Linked DNA regions of Macaca mulatta. The protein of the gene in region 1 purifies or fractionates together with the protein of each later gene. This does not show direct contact. Links are inferred from orthologs where the notes say so. Each region holds a gene or a part of one and is shown in the gene's direction. Other genes may lie near its edges.

Region 1 (4,132 bases):
CTATCATTCAGTTTTCATGAATGGAGTTGGAAAGTAATTGTTAGGAACATTGAAAAGATTAGGGCTTTATGTTTTTAAGTTCTCTCTCCAAATAATGTGGTCTAGTTAATGGCATTTCTAGGGATAATACTTATATACAGTTGCATTTTGTTTTGATTTCTTTATATGAAAAATATGTAGAAAGACCTTTTATCAGGAAAGTCCTTCATCCAAGCAGAATTTTGTTGTATTAATTGATTTTTGTAACTAAATTTCTTCACTTTCTTTTTTATTCATTTACTAGGTTTTTTAATTTTTCAGGAAAAAGGATTTCAATCTGAAATGTCTACAATAATACCTACCAATACAGAAAACCATTATTCTGAAAACTGAAGTCAAGATACCTAAATAAAGAATCGTTTGACAAAATTGCAGTGTAATTATATTTTCCTCTATTTTTTATTGCAGATAGCGGTAGTTCACTTTCTTTTATTGGCCTTTTTTTCTGCAAATAATGTCACTATAATTAACAGACATCTCATTTTTTTTTCTTTTTCTTTTTCTGTTGTGTTTATAGCTTAAGAAATGTATAAAAACTCCAGAAATCCCTTCTAAACATGTTAGGAACTGGGTCCCCAAAGTCTTGGAACAGCGACGACAAGGCTTGGAAACATACTTACAGGTAAGATATGTTTAGATCCTCCATTTTATATAACATAAATAATCATATGTCTCACCATTTTTTCTCAGGACATGTGGGTGCAATGCGAAATATATTAAGCAGGCAAAGAGTCTAAATTAAAGGAAAATTACAGATACGTTGTTGGTTGGTTCTTGTAGCTTTAATTAGGGTTCTATTTAAAATTGGCTCTATTCATTGGGGAAGTGAAATTTTAATAAAAAGGTGAAAACTGTTGAGGAGAGGATCTGTTTTTTAATTCAACTCTACAAATTATTTTGTTTTTTGCTTTTTGCTTTTCCTCCAAGAATTTTTTTGCTTCTTTATAGCAATCCCAGCCTTTATGTTTTGAGTTTTGTGGGGCTGATTGGGGTAGTGAGAGAAACTGAACTCACAGTGGGCCTGGCTAGTATATCTTTGGAATCAAATTGAAAAGGAATGTATAAAAATTGCCAATGATGAAGTGCCAACCTCTTTGAAAATTGGAATGTCCATTTAGAAAGAATGCACTGGGACACTCTTTTCTGCAGCTGAGAGGAGCAAGCAGAACTGCCTAAGTGAGATAGGACAAAGACCATCTCTCTACCAAGTGACAGAAGAAGCAAAAGGAGAAGGTAGAGCAGTATCAGCTTCTCTGAGTTTTAAAACAAAAAGAAATAGCGGCCCCAGGTGAGTACTCAGTGTAGTCATCATTAAGTCCAAAGAACACTGTGCAGGGCAGGAGCTGGGGTGGGCAGGCCCTGAGGTCAGCCGGTACCATCCTGCCACTAACCCTTCTTGGTGAGGCGGTAGGTGCCATCCTGCCACTAACCCATCTTGATAAGGGCCAGTGATATGGTTCTTCCCTGGCACCAGAGTCCACTGGAGAAGCGACACATGAGAATGATGGAGTGAACATGACTGGGGGCAGGGGAATCTTGGCTCTTTGAAACAAAAGAGCTGGACTCCCACCTAAGAGCTGTGAATTAATGATTGACCCATCTAAGACACGTTACATCAAACAAATGAGCAGCCCTGACTGTGTTCTCCCTTTGATATCTTCATGGCCCTTTAAGCATTAACCCTAGGGTGGATTCTGTTGAGGAGGGAAACTGAGAACTGTGGAGCTAGTGTGCCGTTTCTTCTACAGAGCTCTATGAATGGCTGTCCCTGAATCACTGGTGATGAGAAGCTGAGGGGAGGCCGACTCCTCAGGCTTGCGCTTAGTGAGAAATTCAGAGGACTATCTCTCAGTAGAAAGATGCCAGAATTCCGTTCCTGGCCCTTGTAGTTTTCCTGGTCTTTACAGTGCTCTAATAGGAAAGCTGACATGCAGAAGGCCCCTGAGGACATCTAAGGAGGGCTGTCTTTACTGTTTGCTCTTTTGCTTTTGGACTTGTTAGAAGAATCCTTCACTGTCTCTCTCTGGGGGTGAGAGCTTAAAGGAAATAGGAATTAACATCACAAGAATGTGTGTGGCCATGGTTTTTGAGACTGTGTATGAGGAGCTATGATCCTTCCATAGCTTCAGGCAACACTGCAGAGCAAAAAACAAACCAAAAAAAAAAAAATCAGACTTCAGAAAATTGTATGCAAAGAGTAAAAATGCATGTTCTCTATAATTAAATGGAATAGGTAAACAATGCATTCTTATTTGTAAGCCAGATTTTCCATGATGCTATATATCTTCAAACTTTAGTTCTGAAGAAAGTTCTACTCTGTTCCCCTCATTGTATTTGACACATGATTTCCATTACTACTCAGTATAAACATTTTAGGTTGTTTGTACTTCGGATGTAAGTATGTGCATAAAATCATCTGGCACAGAGAGGAGTTTATAGTGACACTCAAATTGAGCTTAGAATTTTCTATTCTCAGAAATAAGGTTTGAAAGATGTGGTCGAAGGGCTCAGAGGGCCCTTGCTTCCTGTTGTGCATTTAATAGTCAATTTGTTGTCACTTAATTCCTCCAGGAGTTCAAGGGAGCTTTCTTTTCCACTTGATTCTACTTGCAGGCAATGGGAGCTAGATGGAAGTTGCAAAGATAAGCCTGAACACTTTATTAATCTTAAATTAAATGCAAATCCTAGCCTAGCTGTCATATCTTGATCATTTCACGTCTCTTTAGAAGTAAGACAGTATTACTGTTTCTTTTGCTTGCTTACATGACACCAGCTAGAATCCATGCATGCTCAGGACCAGTCTGAAACCCAGGGAGTGGGTGCCACCAGCACTTTCTCATCAGGTACCATCCTGCCACTAACCCATCTTGGTAAGGGCCAGTAGTATGGTCCTGATCTGGCCCATGAGCCTAAAAATGTATTAATACCTCCAAGCCATAGCATCTTAAGTGCACAGGAAACTTAGATATTACATAGTCCAGCCCTTCAGCTATTTCACAGTCATCCCTCTGGCGTCAATTTCCCACCCATAAAACAGGCAGATCAGCTCTTGAGAGGGTCAGAGAAAACAACTCTTCCTGCCATCCAAGGGGCAACTAGTACATTCTGGACTATGGTTGAGTACAACCCCACACATTTCCTAAGGTGATTCCACACTGCTCTTTTATTTTAGACATGGACAAACTGAGGTCCAGTGGAATTAAAAATTTTGCCCCTAGCCGGGCGCGGTGGCTCACGCCTGTAATCCCAGCACTTTGGGAGGCTGAGGCGGGCGGATCACAAGGTCAGGAGATCGAGACCACGGTGAAACCCCGTCTCTACTAAAAATACAAAAAATGAGCCGGGCGCGGTGGCGGGCGCCTGTAGTCCCAGCTACTCGGGAGGCTGAGGCAGGAGAATGGCGTGAACCCAGGAGGCGGAGCTTTCAGTGAGCCAGGATCGCGCCACTGCACTCCAGCCTGGGCGACAGAGCGAGACTCTGTCTCAAAAAAAAAAAAAAAAAAAAAAAAATTTTGCCCCAATTCCTGCAATATATTAAAGAGTTGGGACTGGAATTTTAGTTTCCTAACATCCAATATGGGCTCCTTTCTTCATGTGTTGTGGATTTTTCTAAGTCAGGAGAAATTTTTCAACTTTGACATACAGCTTTACATAAGACTCTAATAGGTAAAGGAAAAGACCTTATAATCATAAACTATTACAGCCTAGTTGACTATCATCCCCCAACTCCCTGGATAAGTAGATAGATGATTTTTTAAATCAATAACTTGAATAGCAAAAACTATGCATATGCTTTCATTTTCTGTGCTATATTTAAGTAAGAGGCTAACTTAAAAACAAGAAAGGTCAAATTACCTATTTTCAAAATTAATTTTGTTCTATCTGAGATTTTAAACAAAGGAAACCCAACCTGTTTTGGCATCTGTACTTTTAAAACTCTTTTTTATTCTTTTGCTGGTCACCAATGAAATGAAATTAATGAAGGAAATAGAACTAATGAAAATGAGAGGCAAAAAAGCCTACAGTTAGCATTTATTTGGCTGTTTCTTCAATTTGAAAATAAACATCATATTAGTCTTCAAGATACAATTTA
Region 2 (4,799 bases), about 27 Mb from region 1:
ATTTTTAGACGGAGTTTTGCTCTGTCTCCAGGCTGGGGTGCAGGGGCACCATCTCGGCTCACTGCAACCTCCGCCTCCCGGGTTCAAGCGATTCTCCTGCCTCAGCCTCCTGAGTAGCTGGGACTACAGGCAGACGCTACCATGCGCAGCTAGTTTTTGTATTTTTTAGTAGAGACGGGGTTTCACCATGTTGGCCAGAATGGTCTCGAACTCCTGACCTCAGGTGATCCACTCGCCTCTGGCCTCCCAAAGTGCTGGGATTACAGGTGTGAGCCACTGCACCCGGCTGCGTTTTAGACCAGAATTTAACAGCAGATTTTAACTTAGTCAAAACATGCTTTAGAGTCACCAAAGGCGAACGATGTCTAATAGTGGTGATTTGGGAGTTGGGCACCCTGGGTGTTGGTTGTGCCTTAAAACTTCATGCTAAACTTTAGGGGAAGTCTCTTCCCCTCTCTCTTCAGTTATCTTCCGAGATGAACCCTATTACTAACCTTAATTACTTGATCACCTTTCAAAGGTGCAGTTAAAATTCTTCACATTTTTCTCTCATTTCTATTTAATTAATTATTTTTTTGAGAGAGGGTCTCTCTGTTGCCCAGGCTGGAGTGCAGTAGCGTGATCTAGTCTCACCGCAACCTCCGCTTCCGAGTAGCTGGGGTTACAAGTGTACGTCATCACACCCAGCTAATTTTTGTATTTTTAGTAGATACGGGGTTTCGCCATGTTGGCCAGGCTGGTCTCGAACAACTGACCTCAAGTCATCTGCCCGCCCCGGCCTCCCAAAGTGGTGGGATTACAGGCGTGAGCCACTGCGCCCGGCCCTCATTTCTATTTTAATTAAATTTTATTTAGGATAGGCTTAGCTTAAATGTTTACGACTGAGGTCTGACTTAAGATGATAGCATAAACCATGGAGCTTTCTTTTGTGAACATTACTATTACTCAACCCAATTTTCCCAGGTCAAATTTTGTAATACAAAATGTGGTCAAGATTTGATTCTCTGATCGATTTTTAGTAAAAAAGAAAAAAATTTCCGTGTAGCTTTAAATGTTGTCAATTAAATTTTGTAATAGTTACCTCTACTCTGTTCAGGTTAATACTGCGGTTTTCAACATGACCAACATACGATTCTTTGTTGTTGTTTTGGTGGGGTTGGGGGGCATAACAGTTTTTTCACTCTTGTTAAATTAATTTTCTGTTGATTCCATCTATCCCTAATCTTCACTATGAACAAGATACTGGGTTTTCTTCTGAAGATCAAAAGTGGTAGTGAGGCAATAATGCAAAGACGTAGGACGGCAGGGGGATTCCGGCTTCTTTCTTTTTTCCCCTCCTGTGGAAAGAGGGTCTATAACACTCCGTAGTAGAGAAGAAAATTCTAATTATGAAGGGTAATTAGCTAGGTTTTGCTATAACCGAGAGCCCTGAACGATTCCTCAACGCGGGCTGCTTTTCTCTTCCTCTCCACCAGAGGCGATAGCCTCTTTCCAAACAGAAACTGGGTTGGAATAGGCCGGTCCTGGGGAGCGGCCAGAAGAAAGATCAAAGGTTAAAAACCGCCTCAAAGAGCAAAGGTCAATACCCAACTCCTAAGGAGGCCTGACACGAAACATGAAGGTGACTCCTCCCAACATCGAGGCCTGGGGCCACTCAGCCTTCCAGAGACCCTGCGGGTCCGAGGCGAGTAACAGGTAACACCAGCTGAGCCGCCGCCGACCGGAAGTGGAAGAAAGCCCGGGGCGGGGTGAGGCAGGCCGCGGCACGCCTGCGCAGTCAGCAGGAGTTGCAGCGCTCATGCGCTACTGGGCGGTGACAGGGTGACGCTCGGAGCGTGGGCCGCGACTCTCACGGATCCGGTTCCGCCCTCTCGCTGCCGATCCTTCGGAGCGAGCGCCCCAGATCCCTTTCCCAGAGTGCTCTGCGCCGTGAAGAAGCGGCTCCCGGGGACTGGGGGCATTTTGTGTTGGCTGGAGCTGGAGTAACAAGATGGCGGCGTCGGCGGAGTGACAGGGGTCCCTCAGGGCCGGAGCCGGCGGCAGTGGTGGTAGCTGTATCGCCGCCCTAGCTCACCGCGCCCCTTTTCCAGCCCGCGACGTCGCCGCGCAAGCGAGGCAGCGGCGGCCGCCGAGAAACAAGTGGCCCAGCCTGGTAACCGCGAGAAGCCCTTCACAAACTGCGGCCTGGCAAAAAGAAACCTGACCGAGCGGCGGTGATCAGGTTCCGCTCGGCTGATTCTGGGCCCCGAACGCCGGTAAAGGCCTCCGTGTTCTGTTTCCTGCCGCCTTCCTCCGTAGCCTTGCCCAGTGTAGGAGCCCCAGAGGCCTCCGTCGTCTTCCCAGAGGTGTCGGGGCTTGGCCCCAGACTCCATCTTCGTCTCTCAGGATGGCGAGTAGCAGCGGCTCTAAGGCCGAATTCATTGTCGGAGGGAAATATAAACTGGTACGGAAGATCGGGTCTGGCTCCTTCGGGGACATCTATCTGGCGATCAACATCACCAACGGCGAGGTAATCACCTGGGGTGGGGTTCACGATAACGCTGCGCTTTTCCTCATTCCCCCCACCACCACCGCGCACCCCCAAAGTGCTCGGGCCTTTCCTCACCGCACGCACTCGCCAGGGAGTCCAGGGAGCTAGTTTTCCTGGCTTGCGATCCTCGCCCGCTCTCTCCCTAAAAGGGTCAAGAACCCGATAGAAAGGTTGGGGGAACTAGTTTCCCAGCTTGTTAAACACGTCCCATAAATGTCCCTTCGTCGAGCTGTTTTTTTTTTAACCGACTTTTAAGGTGGAAACGGCAAAATCCTCTTTCTGTGATTCCCATGCTTTGCTTTGCTTTTCTTTTATTTAATTTTTAATCCTACTGGGCCTCTTGTTCCAATTAGAACAGTTTCCGATTGCCTAGTTCCTTAAAAACCTCTCACTACGTTCAGAGGTTGCTTCTTTTTTCTGGATGAATCATTTTCCTGCACTTTAGAGGACGTACGATTTCGTCACTACCCCCTGAAGAGGCCTTTGAGGCTGGTTGCCTCGTTTTATAATTACAGAGAGCTTTCTCTTTCCAGCTTTTCACTTCTTCCTTGTAGTCGCGACTTGGAGTTTTGCTAATGTCTCTCTCCTTTCCTAAATGACACTGAATCCGTAGGGATGTTGATGCCATCATCCCCTCTTTCCCCTGCAGGAAGTGGCAGTGAAGCTAGAATCTCAGAAGGCCAGGCATCCCCAGTTGCTGTACGAGAGCAAGCTCTATAAGATTCTTCAAGGTGGGGTTGGCATCCCCCACATACGGTAAGAACCCCGTGCATGTAGGCGATCCGCTGAGGGAAGCACGGAATGGGGAAGTGGGTAGAGGCAGGTAATGAGACCAGCTGAATCCGGGTCTTGTTTTAGTTACCTGGGTTCCTTGTAGCTGGTGCCTTCCTGTAAGTCATCGCAATCACTGAGTAAATTTCAATTTGCCAACTTATTTCATTGTATTACACTGCTCCATTTCGCTTCCGTCATTCTCTTCCCGAGGCTTTCGTTTGCAGTTAGGCGTGCGGGTCATCTTTGATCCCTACGCGGAAGGGTTGGCTGCTGCCTTTTTTACGGCGGCACGTCTGATGTTCTTAGGTTTGTCCAGTGAAGTGGATTTGAAGGTGCTGAAGCGACCCGGCAGTGTCAGTTCGAGTTGCTATTGGAGCTGGCTTGGGAAATGGCTGCTCTTTTGTTGTGTTTTTGTTCCAACATGTCTTCCTCCTCCGCTTAGAAAATGGCGGAACGACGTGACTCAACCCCATATTCCTGCCCTTTTCTCAGCTTGGGTTCACAAATTATGCTTCCTTGATTCCTCCTTTAGCAGCCCCGAGTGGATTAAACCTTTGAAAAGCCAAGAATAAAGCTGCAGGAGGCGGTGTGGGGGTTCGAGGAAGGAGATGGCATAGTGACAATGTTTGTGATCTCTGCAGCAGATGTGACATGAAATTGTTGAATTATACTATGTAAAATCCTTTGTGGTTCTTTTAAAAGTGTTAATTACGCTTTCCTTTCGTGAATGGTCATATTTGGCACATTTCAGTCGGGACTAAATTTGTATAGGTAATGGCAAAGGCAGTTTGAGCAGCACCAACTATGTTAAAATTTACTCAAATCAATTGTATTAAAAGAAATCTTAATCACTTAGCCACACTTTGATAAGTAATTTTAACCTGTTGAGTTTGGCAGTAAATCTTAATATCAGAGAAATTGCGGCCTTTGTTGGTGTGGAATATTGGTGAGTGCAAATTGCAGTAACGAGGATAAAAGATGACGAGATAGAAAGACATTGTTCTGTCAAATGGTTAACTTTACTTTGGAGGGTTTTAGAGTAATGTTTTAACTTTTGGGATTAAAGAGCCTCTTCATGGAATGGAGACTAAAATATAGTTTAAAACCAAGCTATTTTTCAGCAACAATCTAAAATACCTTTTGCAAAAATATTCAGAATAGGTGAGAATGGTGTTTACTGTTTGCTGGAGACTCTTTTTTTTTTTTTTGAGACTGAGTTTTCGCTCTTGTCGATCAGGCTGGAGTGCAGTGAATGGCACGATCTTGGCTCACTGCAACCTCTGCCTCCTGGGTTCAAGCGATTCTAGTGCCTCAGCCTCCTGAGTAGCTGGGATTACAGGCGCCCGCCACCACACCCAGCTAATTTTTGTATTTTAGTTTCACCATGTTGGCCAGGCTGTACTCGAACCCCTGACCTCAGGTGATCCACCTGCCTCGGCCTCCCAAAGTGCTGGGATTACAGGCATGAGCAACCGTGCCCAGGTTTTTTTCTTTT

Evidence for each region. The genes of interacting proteins can lie anywhere in the genome.
Region 2: the proteins of SNX24 (region 1) and CSNK1A1 purify together in Homo sapiens (affinity purification with mass spectrometry; 4 studies listed by BioGRID and IntAct, counting the BioPlex papers as one, with this or other methods). This does not show direct contact. The link is inferred for Macaca mulatta from reciprocal best matches to the Homo sapiens genes SNX24 and CSNK1A1.

Annotation. Positions count from the first base shown.
Region 1 is NC_133411.1:131,917,010-131,921,141, forward strand, and holds part of SNX24 (sorting nexin-24), read left to right. Parts: intron 1-556; coding exon 557-661; intron 662-1,157; exon of another isoform or gene 1,158-1,327; intron 1,328-4,132. UniProt on the Homo sapiens protein: May be involved in several stages of intracellular trafficking.
Region 2 is NC_133411.1:158,512,686-158,517,484, reverse strand, and holds the start of CSNK1A1 (casein kinase I), read left to right. Parts: upstream 1-1,899; 5' UTR 1,900-2,386; coding exon 2,387-2,509; intron 2,510-3,179; coding exon 3,180-3,286; intron 3,287-4,799.